Bombyx mori: one gene and its partners. The protein of the gene in region 1 purifies or fractionates together with the protein of each later gene. This does not show direct contact. Links are inferred from orthologs where the notes say so. Each region holds a gene or a part of one and is shown on either strand. Other genes may lie near its edges.

Region 1 (4,306 bases):
CTGCATCTATTATCTTAAGCATTTGGTAAATGAACTATAATTGCCATATTTCATTTGATTGGCAACTATATGCAGTCTATGGAGTGCATAGCGTGACTGAATTTTCCATGTTAGAATGAGCTACTTAATCTTAGGTGGTCCCGCTCTGATTATAAAGGAAAAATCTATATTTGATAGAATGTTTAATTTGGATGTATACAAATTCGGGATAGTCTCTTAAAATATGAATGTTCAGTGCCTCATGTTCAATTATGAATGAATGATTGATTATGGCGATCCCACAAATCTCGATTTTTACCATCACCGCACCGTCCACCACTACAGCAGAGTTCGTCCGCACTACTGGAACAATTGCGCTCTCCCTTCTTCATCCCAACAAATCATTAGTCTCTGACATGAACAGTTCCAAAGCGTTTCATGAACGCTATGACTTTCAAATGAGATTGAAATCTTACCGTTAACGGTAGTTAATGGTCCTTGAATATCAGTGAGCATTTAACAGCTGGGCCGTATTTATCAGTACTGATCAAAGGCATAAGAAATAATAAATAGCTCGGTATCGATTGGGACTCGTATACATGTGTCGAAATTGAAAACAAATCCTATTAATCTATAAGTTCTTACTTGAAAAAGAAAACGATAATATAAAGTTACATCACATTTATTTCTGATTCATATAATGTTGCGGGTATGTACATTTCAAATATATATATAATCTATAAATAATACTGAGAAACGATATTCAAAATTTACAAAATAAAATTAGCGCATGAACATTTTACATATCTGTAAGCGTCGAAAAGCTTAACTGGACAAGCTCCGACCCTGGCTTTGTTACAAACTGATTTTTATGGGATTTAGATTATAAAAGGAACAAACACCAGTGAATATTTCCGTTATTTCCTGAGTAAAAACTTACACAACTATGTAACTATTCAATAATGTCGTTAAAATTTTAAAGTAACATGTATTGTCATATTATTATTATCTTAGATGATACAGATTTCTTTATTGTTTCTTTAAGTACTTAAGATAGATATGCTGCTGTAATAATTTGTACAACGTTTAAAAACCACAATAAATGCCGCATTCCGTCTTAACGGTTTATAGTTTACATGAATTATAGTCTGCTGGTGTACTCTCATGATACACGTTCGTATTTAGATATTTCTGGCACACTATTGAGTATCTGGCACTGTTTCATTTGTACATAATTATTTTCAATGTTATTATAGTTTAGATTAAAAAATTTACATTTCAGAGATTGAACTAGTGAAACTTAAATCTTAAATAAAAAATAAATTATTAATGTTAACATAACATTTATACTAAACAGTGGCGTTTCGTTTGAACACTAAAGAAGTATCGGGCGGGCGCCGCACGTCGGGCTGTGTTGGTCTCGCGTTGGTCATTCACGTTCAAAAATGTTTCAATGTAGCCCTGTGTACAGATGGAGAAAAAATTATTACTGGTGGTGGGACCTCTTGTGAGTCCGCACGGGTAGGTATCACCACCCTGCCTATTTCTGCCGTGAAGCAGTAATGCGTTTCGGTTTGAAGGGTGGGGCAGCCGTTGTAACTATAGTGAGATTTTAGAACATATCTCAAGGTGGGTGGTGCATTTACGTCGTAGATGTCTATGGGCTCCAATAACCACTTAACAGCAAGTGGGCTGTGAGCTCGTCCACCCATTCAAGCAATAAAAAAAAAACTTCCACGTGATCCATTCTAAGTTGACTGATTTCAAGGATGGTTAGTAGAGTCCTACTTGCGGTGTTGGCGGCGGCTAGTAGGTGCGGATGACGGGCGGCACGGTGCTGCACTCGGCGGCGTCGAGCGTGCGGTCGATGACGGGGCGGTAGGTGAGGCGCGTGTCGCCGGTCGCGGGGTCCGTCTCGGCGAGCGTGTGCTTCCTCCAGTGCTGCTCGAACGGCAACTTACTCTGTAGGTGATAGACGACGATAGTTATTTGACTGGATTTAATACGATGAACAACATAAAGCTGAGTATTTTTTTTTTTCTCCCTACGTATAGTGTTTCCCATTATGGCCACTAGATGGCGATGTTTGGAATCCTTGCAAATCTTAATTGACTTATTTTTTTAGTAACCTAACAAGTAAGTGAGCTCACGGGGCTCAAACCTGACGACGTTGCTAAAACTGGCCCTAGCAAGAGCAGTGCTTCGCAGAATCTACCACCGGATCGGAAATGCGACTCGCTGGAAAGATCCGGCGAGAAACTCAGTGGGCCATAATTAACGTTAATGCGATCTAATAGGTAGAAAAGCTAGCTTCACGCAGACAGTTCGGTACGTATGACATTAAATCCATTGGGCTTAAAATAGTTTAAATTAAATAATGTGCCATACAATGTTACAACTTTTTTGATTGAATATTGTCTTTTTTCGATGAAAATTCATCTGCTTTTAGTTGTCGAGAGTTTAATCGCCAAAAAAAATAGTACTAAACGACAGCTTTAACTGCATAATATTGTTACATGCCTGAAAATTATGCACTTTTATTAACCCTCTTTTTCTGATACACCTTGATGATTGTACCTTTCCCCGAAATTTGTGTTGACAATCCCCAAGAAGGCATTACATTAATATCTCACCTGTCCCTCGAGAGGTTTAGAGTAGTCGTACTCGTCGCGTCTGGTCTTGAAGTCCTCTCGGGCGTGGGCTCCGCGCGACTCCTCCCGCGCCAGTGCTCCCTCCACGATCTGTACCGAGTTGATGAGAAGATTCTGAAGCTCCAGCGTCTCCACTAGATCACTGTTCCAGATCAAGGACCGGTCGGACACCTTCACGTCTTTTATCTGCTTGTAGATCTCGTGAATTTGACGTTGACCTGTGTTAGAAAAAACGAAAATTCACTTTATAACATTTTACAATTGCAAATAACAAAAATAATGGCACTAAAATAAAAAAATCGGTGAAAAAAACTTGAGAGGTGTCAAGGGACACCTGGATGGAACGAAGTTCCTTTCGATTAATTAGTGAAGGAATAGTAATAAAAAATAAAATTTTATTTTATAAAATATATTTATATAATTATAATCAATTAATTAAAATAACTGCTTTGTTTTCAATGGGAGAGACAGACAGAAAAACACTCGCACGCCGCACGGATTACAACTATAGCAAAAAGTGTCGTTACAACTTTTCGTCTTAATTTTTTCCGTCTAGCCCCCTTTCACAACGCGCGATAAGGAACTTCGTTCCAAAAATCATCATCGATCACATGAACGGGAAATTATAGAGATGAACCTCTTTACAGCGTTTCTTACTTGCTCGCTCCGGGCATTTCAATATTGCAATAATTGTTACGTTATAATACACATTGTAAAAATTAATATTTAAAAAAAATCTAATATTAAAAAAAAGAAAAAATACAATATGCCCGCTGAGTTTCTTGCCAGTTCTTCTCAGAACGGAGGCTAGTTTTTCTGAATTGGCAGTAGTTCTTTTTGACGTTCAACAAGTACATATATAATTTCATTTATGATGAATAAATTTTTTTATTTATTTGATATGATTCTATTCCGTTACATTAAATCCTCGTTCGACGAGATATTATTATGCGAGTTACGACTTTACGAACTTGAATAAGCATGCGATTTCGAATTACTTTCCTTTCAAACTATTTAGAAGCGTACTGAAGTCAGTGTGTGTTTACTGTGTGTACAGGTGTGGTTTGTTATTGATTCTTCGTGTTCGCGGGATATTTTCACTCGGAATATAATAAAAGTCAAACACACTATTTCAATAACATATCTATAATGTTCAGATATATGTGTACAATATTATAATATAAACAAAAAGGAGTAAACGACGCTAGGCACGAGACGGTACAATTAAACTAAAATTTCGTTTTTATATCACTACACAGCATAAAACAAAGTTGCTTTCTCTGTCCCTATATCTGTCTGTCCCTATGTATGCTTAAATTTTTAAAACTACGCAACGGATTTTATTGCGGTTTTTTTAATAGAGTGATTGAAGAGGAAGGTTTATATGAGTCGTTTATTATCAAAGGTGGCAATCTGTGCATTTGGACAAAAAAAATTTATTGATATGTCAATACAGACCAATACAACCACCAGTAAAAAACGCTGCATATATATTGCAGTAACGTCTAGTATGTACCTAGCAGCGTCGATACAGAAGCATATAACGTCAATCTCAGAAACGCACAGATGACATGACGCGTGACTCGAGTGAGACGGCATGCTGTGTGAACAGTACGAAAAATCAGAACTGCGTATGAGTAAATAAATAAAACAACATTTATATATGTATATGCCTG
Region 2 (4,918 bases), on another chromosome or scaffold:
TGAGGCAATCATTGGCTCTATGGTGGACAGACAATGTATAAATAACAAAATGAAAAATGAAAGAAAGAGAAAAATGTCATTCATAACAATATTTAAATTAATGATGACTTGTAATGTAATATTATGAGAAATTATAAAAAAAAAACCCTTATAAAAACATGGAGTATCATGAAATGCATTATTTAGTAAAGTCATAATAGTGTACATAGTTACAACTTGTCATAAATTTCTACATTATTTGGCAAAGACTGAAGTAGCTGAGTTATTGTTATGGTTATTACCTCCAAAAACATTGACGAAAATCGTCTTCACTTTGGGATCAGACTCTAAAATCTTCAAAGCTGCAGAAACTTGTGATTGACCAACTCCACCTCCAAGGTCTAGGAAGTTAGCAGGTTTGCCACCATTCAGCGTGATGATATCCATAGTGGCCATGGCAAGTCCTGCACCATTAACCATGCAGCCAATACTTCCATCCATTTCAATGTACACCAAATTGAGGGAATTTGCTTCTCTCTATAAGTCCGAAAACAAATAAAATTTATCTAAACATATTGCCTTAGGAGTGATGTTTGAGAATAAGCCACAAATAAATTGGGCTGGAGAGATTTACTGGATCAGACTAAGGTCCACTTATGACTGTAATGAGTCAGTTGGTGATACTACTTAGTGATGGCCAATAGTGACCTCCGTAGAATACCAAGCCATCTAAAACATACACAAAAATTGCAATTGAAATTATAAAACCTAATGATGTGTTTCAATATTAATGAAACTGTACTTGATAGTTATATACTATATTATATCATCATGCTATTTCGGCCTGCTTAAATATTTCTGTTTCAAGATTCTGTCACTAAATATCAAAATTCTTTTTTATAAAACCCTACTGAGACCTAATATTGTTGAAGGCGAGAGTTTTTCAAATAACATTCAACCATTACCTATTTCTACTTTCTTTGTATGTTTTGATCATTAAAAGATTGATGATTAAAGAAAATTGCATTCGGGCTTTTTTACACAAAATTATGATGTAAATGTTGAGTGACATCTACCATTTTCATAAAAACAGTTCTAAACAGTAAAAAAATGAGTTCAATAAATAAGTTCACGACATTCAGATAACCAAAAATGATATAAAGATAGCAATAGTTGCATTTAAAATAAAGACAAATGACGTATTTATCAGAAGTAAGATAAACTGAGTTATGTAAAATAAATTGATAGTGTCAAGTACACACTGTTTTTTCACTTTATCCTATCTTGGGTTCTGATGTTATTTTATGATACCCAAGACATTATTTAAAAAAAAAAACAATATAATAAAAAAAACAAAAAGTAACAGTTGACCACATCAAAAAACATGTATGCAGTGGCATGTTTTTTATGTTATTTGAATAATGTTTATAATTCTTAAATAATAAGTTACCCTGCATCAGGCTGCATATCTGTTGCCATATATTGGTATTTTATAAATGAATTGAAATAATTTACAGCCAGTATTTTGTACTTACCTCACGTGGGTCAGTCTCGGAAACATCATCAAGTGCAAAGATCTCCTTTTGTCTAAACTTAGCATTGTCATCAAAATTAATCTTGGCATCAACTGAAATGACACGTCCATCATCTGTTTCAACCAGAGGGTTAATTTCAAGCTGTGTAGCATCCACCTTAAATAGATTTTTAACAATAACTATGTATTCTTTTTACACATTAGTGTCTAAGATATTTTAAAAGGATCCTAAAGGCAAATCAATATGAAAATATGTTTAGATCATCATCATCATCATTATCATCTGTCCACTGCTGAACATAGACCTCTCCAATTGATGTCCAGTGCGGCTAGTTCATTGCCTGTTTAGATATATCAATAAAATTAACAGATTAATGTTATCTAACTTTAAAACTTCTGTTTTTTGTTATTCAATTATACCTTCAAAAACAACTGCCATAGCTTTTTTACTTCTTCAGCACATTTGCTTTTTAGTGGTCCTTTGAATTCTAAAAAGTCAGCTATTTCATTTGCAACTTTGTCACTAATCCCTTCAAAAATATCTACTGGAACTGTTTTCACTAAATGTGGGGTTTTTTCAGCCACTGCCTCTATATCCATACCTCCAGCTGGAGAAGCTACAATGGCTGCACCATTAAAACTTCTCTCCATTACAATACTAAAGTATGTCTCTCTTTTGATATTCACACTTTCTGCGACCATAACTTTATTTACTAAAATACCTTCTTTGGGAGTTTGTTTAGTAATAAGCTTGTTTCCTATCATATTTTTAGCTAAGTCGACAATCTTGTCCCGGTTTTTTGTAAGATGAACTCCCCCTTTAAACCCATTGTCAAAGTGACCTTTTCCTCGTCCTCCAGCAAGAATCTGAGCCTTGACTACATATTCATCAGCTTTAAAACCAGATAAGGCATTCGTATCTAGTTTGGAATCAATAATTCTGAAGTCCTGAATGGAAACCTGATATTTTCTCAGAAGATCTTTGCTATGATGCTCTTGAAGATTTAGGTGTCTTGTTGAAATTACTCGTGGACAATATGTGGACGAAGCAAGGTTTATGAGTTTAAAACTTTTTAAATTCTTAAAAGCGGCCATAATTTAATTTTAACTGAATCTTAACCACGAAACAGGCAGTCTGTAAAAGATGTGGTTCGCAATTTAATTGATTATTGAATCTAATGGTCGGTGCAAATATATTACAAGCTAGGAAAATATAATTTGAACTTTGGTCACAGTTTAAAAGACTAAAACTCACCTTACTGAACTAAATTTAGACAATTTTCATTGCAAAAACTGCAATCTGCGGAGCGCAGGGAAAATTCCACTAAATTTTATTGGATAAATTGAAAAATCACTCGCGTTAACGAACTTTAATATTATGTACTTTTATCTTAAATAAGTCTATTTCATAACCTCTACGAGACGAGTTACTTTACTTCACCACGTAAAACAAGTTATGTTTTTTTGTTTGATTCGTCTATTGAACAGGCAAAGGGATATAATTATTTTTTAATTTTGTTATACCTTTGCAGACAGACGAGTTACGGCCCTCCTGATAGTAAGTGGTTACCATTGCTCATGGACGTCAGCAATGCCGGGGCAGAGCCAACCCGCTACCTACCATTAAATACATACAATAAAATTTTATAATGAAGCATTTACTCTATCCGGCGCGGCGGTATTTTTTTCAATTACAAAACACGACGTGAGGTTTTTTTTTTTAGTTGGAATTTATGGCCTGGTATCCAGACCTTTAGGACAACACGACATGAAGTGGTATGAAATAATGTTGTCAAAGGATTAAATAAAAATCAGCTCAGAAAAGAAGGCGATACCGCAGGCAGTGTTTTGGTAAATTTGGACAAATTATAAAACCACATAGTCTTCATAAAATATTGGTTTTCACTATATATAGGCTCGTAAAAAACGAGGACGCCTCATATAAAGTAAAAAAACTTTGGTAACGCTAGACCTCACACATCTTTAGCCACTCAGCAAAAATTAAGAGAGCTTGGCTGGGAGGTTTTAATGCATCCGCCGTATAGTCCTGACCTTGCATCTTCAGATTCCACCTGTTTCGGTCTCTTTAGGCAGTCTCAGGTTATCATCACGAGAGGATTGCCAAAACCAATTGTCGCGGTATTTTGATCAGAAGCTTCAAAATTTCTACAGCAATAGGATCATGTCCCTACCTACAAGAAGGCAAAAAGTTATTGAACAAAATGGTACCTACATACTTTAGTTAATTGTAAATAAACTATATTAAAAAAATGTTGTGAATTTTCTTAAAAAATGCGAAGAAACTTTTTCGGCAACCTGTTATTAAAAAATATCCGGTGAAAGGGAGCGAATTAAGACGGCGCCATAATAGCAAGTGGAAAAATTTAAAAAGCTAATTTAAATATATTAATTAAGAAGGAAAAAAGCACTTCTTCTGTAAATAGGAATAAAAGTAAATAGTTGTCATTTTAAGCATCGAGCGAGCTTACTGCAACTTAAAAGGTCACCGTTCTTGTCGAACCCGTCGCTTGCGACGAAGGGCTTGACGAGTAAATTAACTCTCAGACACAGCCCACTGAGTTTCTCGCCGGATCTTCTCAGTGGGTCGCGTTTCCGATCCGGTGGTAGATTCTGCGAAGCACGACTCTTGCTAGAGTTCGTGTTAGCATCGTCATCAGGTTTGAGCCCCGTGAGCTCACCTACTAGTTACGGTTACGCTAGAATAGCCGCTCCAGGCTACCAGCTTAGGTAGGAAAAAAAAAAGCAATTTAAATTAATGTATTGGCTAAGGACATAATTGTCATAATTACAATTAACATGTCATAATTATTAATTTAAAATTACATGTTTCGTAAATAGTCATCTTCTTTTTATTAATTTAAGAAAGTAAATAGGTTTCTTTCCTTTGTTTCTCAAAACAATACAAAACAAATCTTTACATTTATTGTTAAGTTAAATTTCGATTCCGAATAAGATTCGACATGGATAAATATCTTTTTTACTATAAAATTATTAGGACTAAATGTTTAAGCTTATCAAATAAATGTAAAATCTAAAAGGCACATAAGGAGGGTTCTTTTCTGTAAGTGAATTATTATCACAATTTAAAAATTATATTCATATAATTGTTTACTACACTAAGATTATCTAGTGTCTGGACCTATTTGGATCTGAAGACATTATGTTGAACTCAGAAAGCACGGGCTAGTTTATTTGTTGCTAAAAGTATGGAATGTTACAAGAGAGATCATCATCATCATCAGCCTATATCTCTCCACTGCTGGATGTAGGCCTCTCCCATAGTCCGCCACAATGAACGATCCTCCGCCTTCCGCATCCAATCTCTCCCAGCATATCGCCGCAAGTCAAGAGAGATCAGTACCTTGAAATAAATAAGTCTGTGGT
Region 3 (4,799 bases), on another chromosome or scaffold:
TGTACACACCACAAGATTACTATAATGTAATAGCGCAATGTACAAAATAGGATAAATTCATTTTATATGAAATAAAACGCATCATGCATATTTTGAAACACTACCACATGCAGAGAATAAGTAAATTCTTGTAATCAGTATCTTGTAATTTAATTGCCGTCTAAAATAAAATTTTATGTGTTGTTTTGCGTATTTGTAAACAAAATTATATTAAAATGAAGTATATTTTAAGCGATATTTGATTTTTCAAAATTGAAATTAACCGATTTTTACAATTGTCTAATTTTGAAAGTGGTGTAAGTCCATTTACAGCACATAAATATGTGTTATCGTAGTCTTATTAGCCAAAAACAAATTTATATAAACAAATTCAATGTTGATAAAACAACAGAAGCAATGCCAGACCTCATAATATGATTTGCCATTAATTTTCTCGAAACAAAAAAATATGGACTTACACCACTTTCAAAATAAACGGTCCATAAGTTCTAAGGTCTCAGTATAGTTACAACGGCTGCCCCACCATTCAAACCGAAACGCATTACTGCTTCATGGCAGAAATAGACAGGGCGGTGGTACCTCAAGAGGTCTTACCAACAGTAATTACGCAAATTATAATTTTGCGGGTTTGATTTTTATTACACGATGTTATTCCTTTACCGTGTAAGTCAATCGTGAACATTTGTTGAGTACGTATTTCATTAGAAAAATCGCCCCGCCTGAGATCGAACACTGATGCATCGTTCAACACGAATGCACCGCACGTCTTATCCTTTTGGCCACGACGACTTCAAAATAAATAGATAAATTATTTAAAAAATAATAATTATATAATAAATAAATAAATTAATTAATTAACAATAAATAGAAAAACGAATTTCAGAGATTCGCCTATATAACCATTAGCGTATGCAAGAAAGCAGACTGCATGAATGCAAAATTAATGCAAGCTATGTGACATACTAATTAACCCACACAAAAGACAAAATTAGTAATTTTTACTAATTGACATTTAAATAAGAGGACTCTTGGTTGTCAATGTTACTGAGTTAAGATCTTACATAAAGCATGATAAATATCTTGGCATGCTCATTAAATAGATGCAGATTAAGCGGAAACAATCACTTAGAACACAATATAATGCACATACGGTGGAATAACATCAGTTATGCAAATTATGTAATTTTTCATGAGAAACGTTGAAAAATTCAACATCTTATTATACAATTCATATATAGTTCTGCTAGGCTATAGAAATAAAATGATAATATTTAAACTACTACTTTAAACTTCATCAGTAAAAGCAAAGATCTCTTTCATCTCACTGATAACTATTAAAAAAATTTATTTTCTCATACTCAGCTCAGTGTTAACAAAAATTGCATAGGTGACTTTATAGCACCGTATGTGCGATATATACAAGGTCAGTATTCTTTAAAAAATTACATGTAATGATTTCAAAGTTATAGGGACAATCCTCTAATATCTCTTTATGAGCATAGTGAAAAATAACAACTTAGCTACCCACAGATCAATGCTCATGGAAGTTTTCAAGAATAACCCCCATTCAGAAGCAGTTAGTGACAGAATAAAAACTTCATATATGATGAGAAATATAAGTTTCATTTAATGATTTTTTTATTATTATTCATCATACCTAATATTACTTATGTATTATTCATGTAATTTATTTTTTGTATTTACATAAAAGTGATGTTTTGTTTTTGTTCAAGATTGTTTCATAAATCACTTAGGCTATTAAAGAATTATTGCTACACCTGATTATTAAATAGCTTTTGATAATATTGCAATAAACACTTGTAAGTTATCATAGAACAACATGGATGTTTATATTATTTTCTAAATCTTTCCCTGAGTGCTACTACTTTCGACTCTGTTTGGAATAATGTACAATTATACTGGGTGTTAGGAGACCGTTTCCGAAAACGAAGACAGACGATAGTACTAATGACACCTTTGATGTAGGACAGAAAAAAATCGATCCTGATTTAAAAAAAACATATTTTTAAAACGTTTTATTAGCATTGTTTACGCTCCATCATGTTAGTACAGCTAAATGAAACGATAGTTTCATAAAAAAATACATTACTAAAAAAACCAGCGATGAAACACAAAATCAAACAGCTGATGCTCGGATCAACGAACGCAAGGGCGCGGCGCGGGCAGACTCGCACGATCGCACAAATACTTATTTACAACATTTGTCTAAATAGCTTCATCATCAAGATGTCATAGTAATATCGTCTGTCTTCGTTTTCGGAAGCAGTCTCCTAACACCCATGATATACAGTGGTACATCGACATACAAGCTTAATTCATTCCGTAACCTTGTCCGTATGTCAAGTGGCTCATATCTCAAAGTAATTTTCCCCACTGAAATTAATTGAAATGCCATTAATCCATATCAGTTCCCAAAAAACCACCTCAGTCGTTTTTGTTAAGTGCTTTTTAATAAGAAAAGTGTGTTTTCAAGAAGAAACTTATTTATAAATAACAAATACATATTCAATAAAAAAATTCAATAAACAAAAGAGTGAAGTGTAGACATTATCTTTTTCAGACCCATGAGATAGATGTTAAATGGTTATTGTTTGAATACAGTTAAGGTTGCATTGAAAAAACTATCATCATCAGAGTACGGTTGTCCACTGCTGGATATGAGTTTCTCCCAATCCACAGCATATAAAAAAGTCATATCTGCTGATTTAGAGCAATAAAACTCAACACAACAACAAATTTACACTATATTAACCATCTTTTGTTACCTTGCTTTACGTTTCTCCAGCGGTTGTTGTTTCTCAACATCATAAAGAGGAATCTCCATGTAGGTTGTATCCATGTTGTTGGTGGTATTACTTGAAAAAGCCACTTTCTGGACATTTTTGAGTGCATTATAAGACTGAAATAGTTTTATTATCGTATAATTCATATCATGAGTGATTTCTAAAAACAAAATCACATTTCTACATGTCTAAGATTTCAGTTCCATTAATTATTTAGTAGCGTAAGTTAAAAGTACTTACAAGGTTAAGGGTTCGAGTATGCAACATTTTTATTAAATTCATATTGTTTTTATCAATTTTAGACAACGATAATCGTTTGAGTAAAATGGTTTCGAAATCAAATCAAATAAATACAAATGATCATTTTTTAATAAAAATCCCCTTCCTCCTTTTTTGACAGAATGACAAGTGACAACTTCATAGAATAATTAGAACATGGATTAAACATAGATTATACACTTAATATATTTGAGATAGATGCGCAACTCTCATTTTTATTTTTGCTTTAGTTAGAGCCCGGGACAGCAGGCGTCGCTGCTGTCGATTATTAGTCTCCCTACCCCCCGCCAGGTGGCTTTTTTAGTAATTTTAATATTTTTTATAATTAACTCTCTTTATGAAAAAATCTTATCGTTTAGAATCGCTGAAATTCCCGGTAGTACTTATGAAATATTAAAGAACGTTTGATTGTGTACAGCATTCTAATCGATAAGACCTTTTCATACCGAGAGAAAACAGTTTTTTAAAATAAAAAGCTGTAATTCTCTGTAAGCTATTTAATTTCCCTATATTACAAACAATTTTCTGTTAAAAGATTGTATGAACGTACAATTGTATAAAATTTCGAATAACAATAACTCCTCTAGAATAATCCTACTAGCGTACACATTAAATCGAAAGTTATCTAAAAGTAATTAAGTCTAGATAATCAAATCATTCAATGTCACTTAAGTCATTTATGCGAAATATAAACATGTCAGCTTTCCATTACAAACATAGTAGACAATTTGAATTAAATTTAATAAATTTGTTTCTTAACTATAGCAGTTCTTGCTTAAAGTTGATCGTGACAGATCATGACCTTGTATGAAAATATTACATCTATAAACACTACCTATGCTTCGTCATACAATAATTGTCATTTATACTAGCATTGTAGAGATAATACACACACTAAAGTGAATACTAAATTATTCTTAGCATTCTTATAAACATTTAGAAATTTAAGAAACGATTAACCCACAATCATGTTCATAACATGTGACATTTTGTTCTGACAAACGTTTTATTACATGATTTGAAAAACAAAAAATGTTTAAAAAATGTAATGATGATTTAAAGTACTCTTAAATATTGATACTTAATTGTACTTAATTTGTACTTAATGACGCTTATAGTAATCTTAGACATGATTACATTAGTTATACTTTTATTCCCTATCTAAATTATTTCTATTCTGACGTTTCTGATGCTTTAGCTTTGGTAATACTAGATGAAACAAACAGCAGATTGAAAGAAAATCATCTTAAAGTTAATTACATTCATTACAAACCATTAGTTTACATTTTGTTACAAAAGAAACTGGTGTTCGTTACATGCAAATGAATTATAAACATACACATGCAAACATAAAATGTAAATTTATTTTTTAATCCAAATTAAATGTACACTAATATTACATCTAAATAATAGAAAGGGTTTCGAAAATTTTTATTGCACTCAACAGCAGACGAGCACGCAACCCGGCCCATGATAAGTGGTCACCAGTGCTTATAAACTTCAGCAGTGCCATAGGGGTTGCTGTCTATCACTTAAGTTTTAATAAATTATTAATATACTCAGTCACAAGCATATTCATTTCACATAATGAAAATGTAAGAAACATAATCATGTTTGGGCATTTTCATTTATATCTGCTCATACAGAAAACACAACTTAGCAAATATATTCCACAGTTAATCTAAATAATTGCAAATAATGCTTTTAAAGACCGTT

What was found.
Region 2: the proteins of succinate dehydrogenase [ubiquinone] flavoprotein subunit, mitochondrial (region 1) and succinate--CoA ligase [GDP-forming] subunit beta, mitochondrial fractionate together in Homo sapiens (co-fractionation; 3 studies listed by BioGRID, with this or other methods). This does not show direct contact. The link is inferred for Bombyx mori from reciprocal best matches to the Homo sapiens genes SDHA and SUCLG2.
Region 3: the proteins of succinate dehydrogenase [ubiquinone] flavoprotein subunit, mitochondrial (region 1) and succinate dehydrogenase assembly factor 2-B, mitochondrial purify together in Homo sapiens (co-immunoprecipitation; 3 studies listed by BioGRID and IntAct, counting the BioPlex papers as one, with this or other methods). This does not show direct contact. The link is inferred for Bombyx mori from reciprocal best matches to the Homo sapiens genes SDHA and SDHAF2.

Annotation. Positions count from the first base shown.
Region 1 is NC_085109.1:8,413,733-8,418,038, forward strand, and holds the end of succinate dehydrogenase [ubiquinone] flavoprotein subunit, mitochondrial, read right to left. Parts: intron 2,849-4,306; coding exon 2,613-2,848; intron 1,942-2,612; coding exon 1,786-1,941; 3' UTR 1,768-1,785; intron 1,441-1,767; 3' UTR 646-1,440; downstream 1-645. UniProt on the Homo sapiens protein: Flavoprotein (FP) subunit of succinate dehydrogenase (SDH) that is involved in complex II of the mitochondrial electron transport chain and is responsible for transferring electrons from succinate to ubiquinone (coenzyme Q).
Region 2 is NC_085121.1:7,626,078-7,630,995, forward strand, and holds the start of succinate--CoA ligase [GDP-forming] subunit beta, mitochondrial, read right to left. Parts: upstream 3,242-4,918; 5' UTR 3,176-3,241; exon of another isoform or gene 3,149-3,175; intron 2,991-3,148; 5' UTR 2,769-2,990; intron 2,649-2,768; 5' UTR 2,609-2,648; coding exon 1,934-2,608; intron 1,671-1,933; coding exon 1,515-1,670; intron 517-1,514; coding exon 282-516; intron 1-281. UniProt on the Homo sapiens protein: GTP-specific succinyl-CoA synthetase functions in the citric acid cycle (TCA), coupling the hydrolysis of succinyl-CoA to the synthesis of GTP and thus represents the only step of substrate-level phosphorylation in the TCA.
Region 3 is NC_085119.1:6,985,610-6,990,408, forward strand, and holds the start of succinate dehydrogenase assembly factor 2-B, mitochondrial, read right to left. Parts: upstream 3,242-4,799; 5' UTR 3,087-3,241; coding exon 3,045-3,086; intron 2,921-3,044; coding exon 2,787-2,920; intron 1-2,786.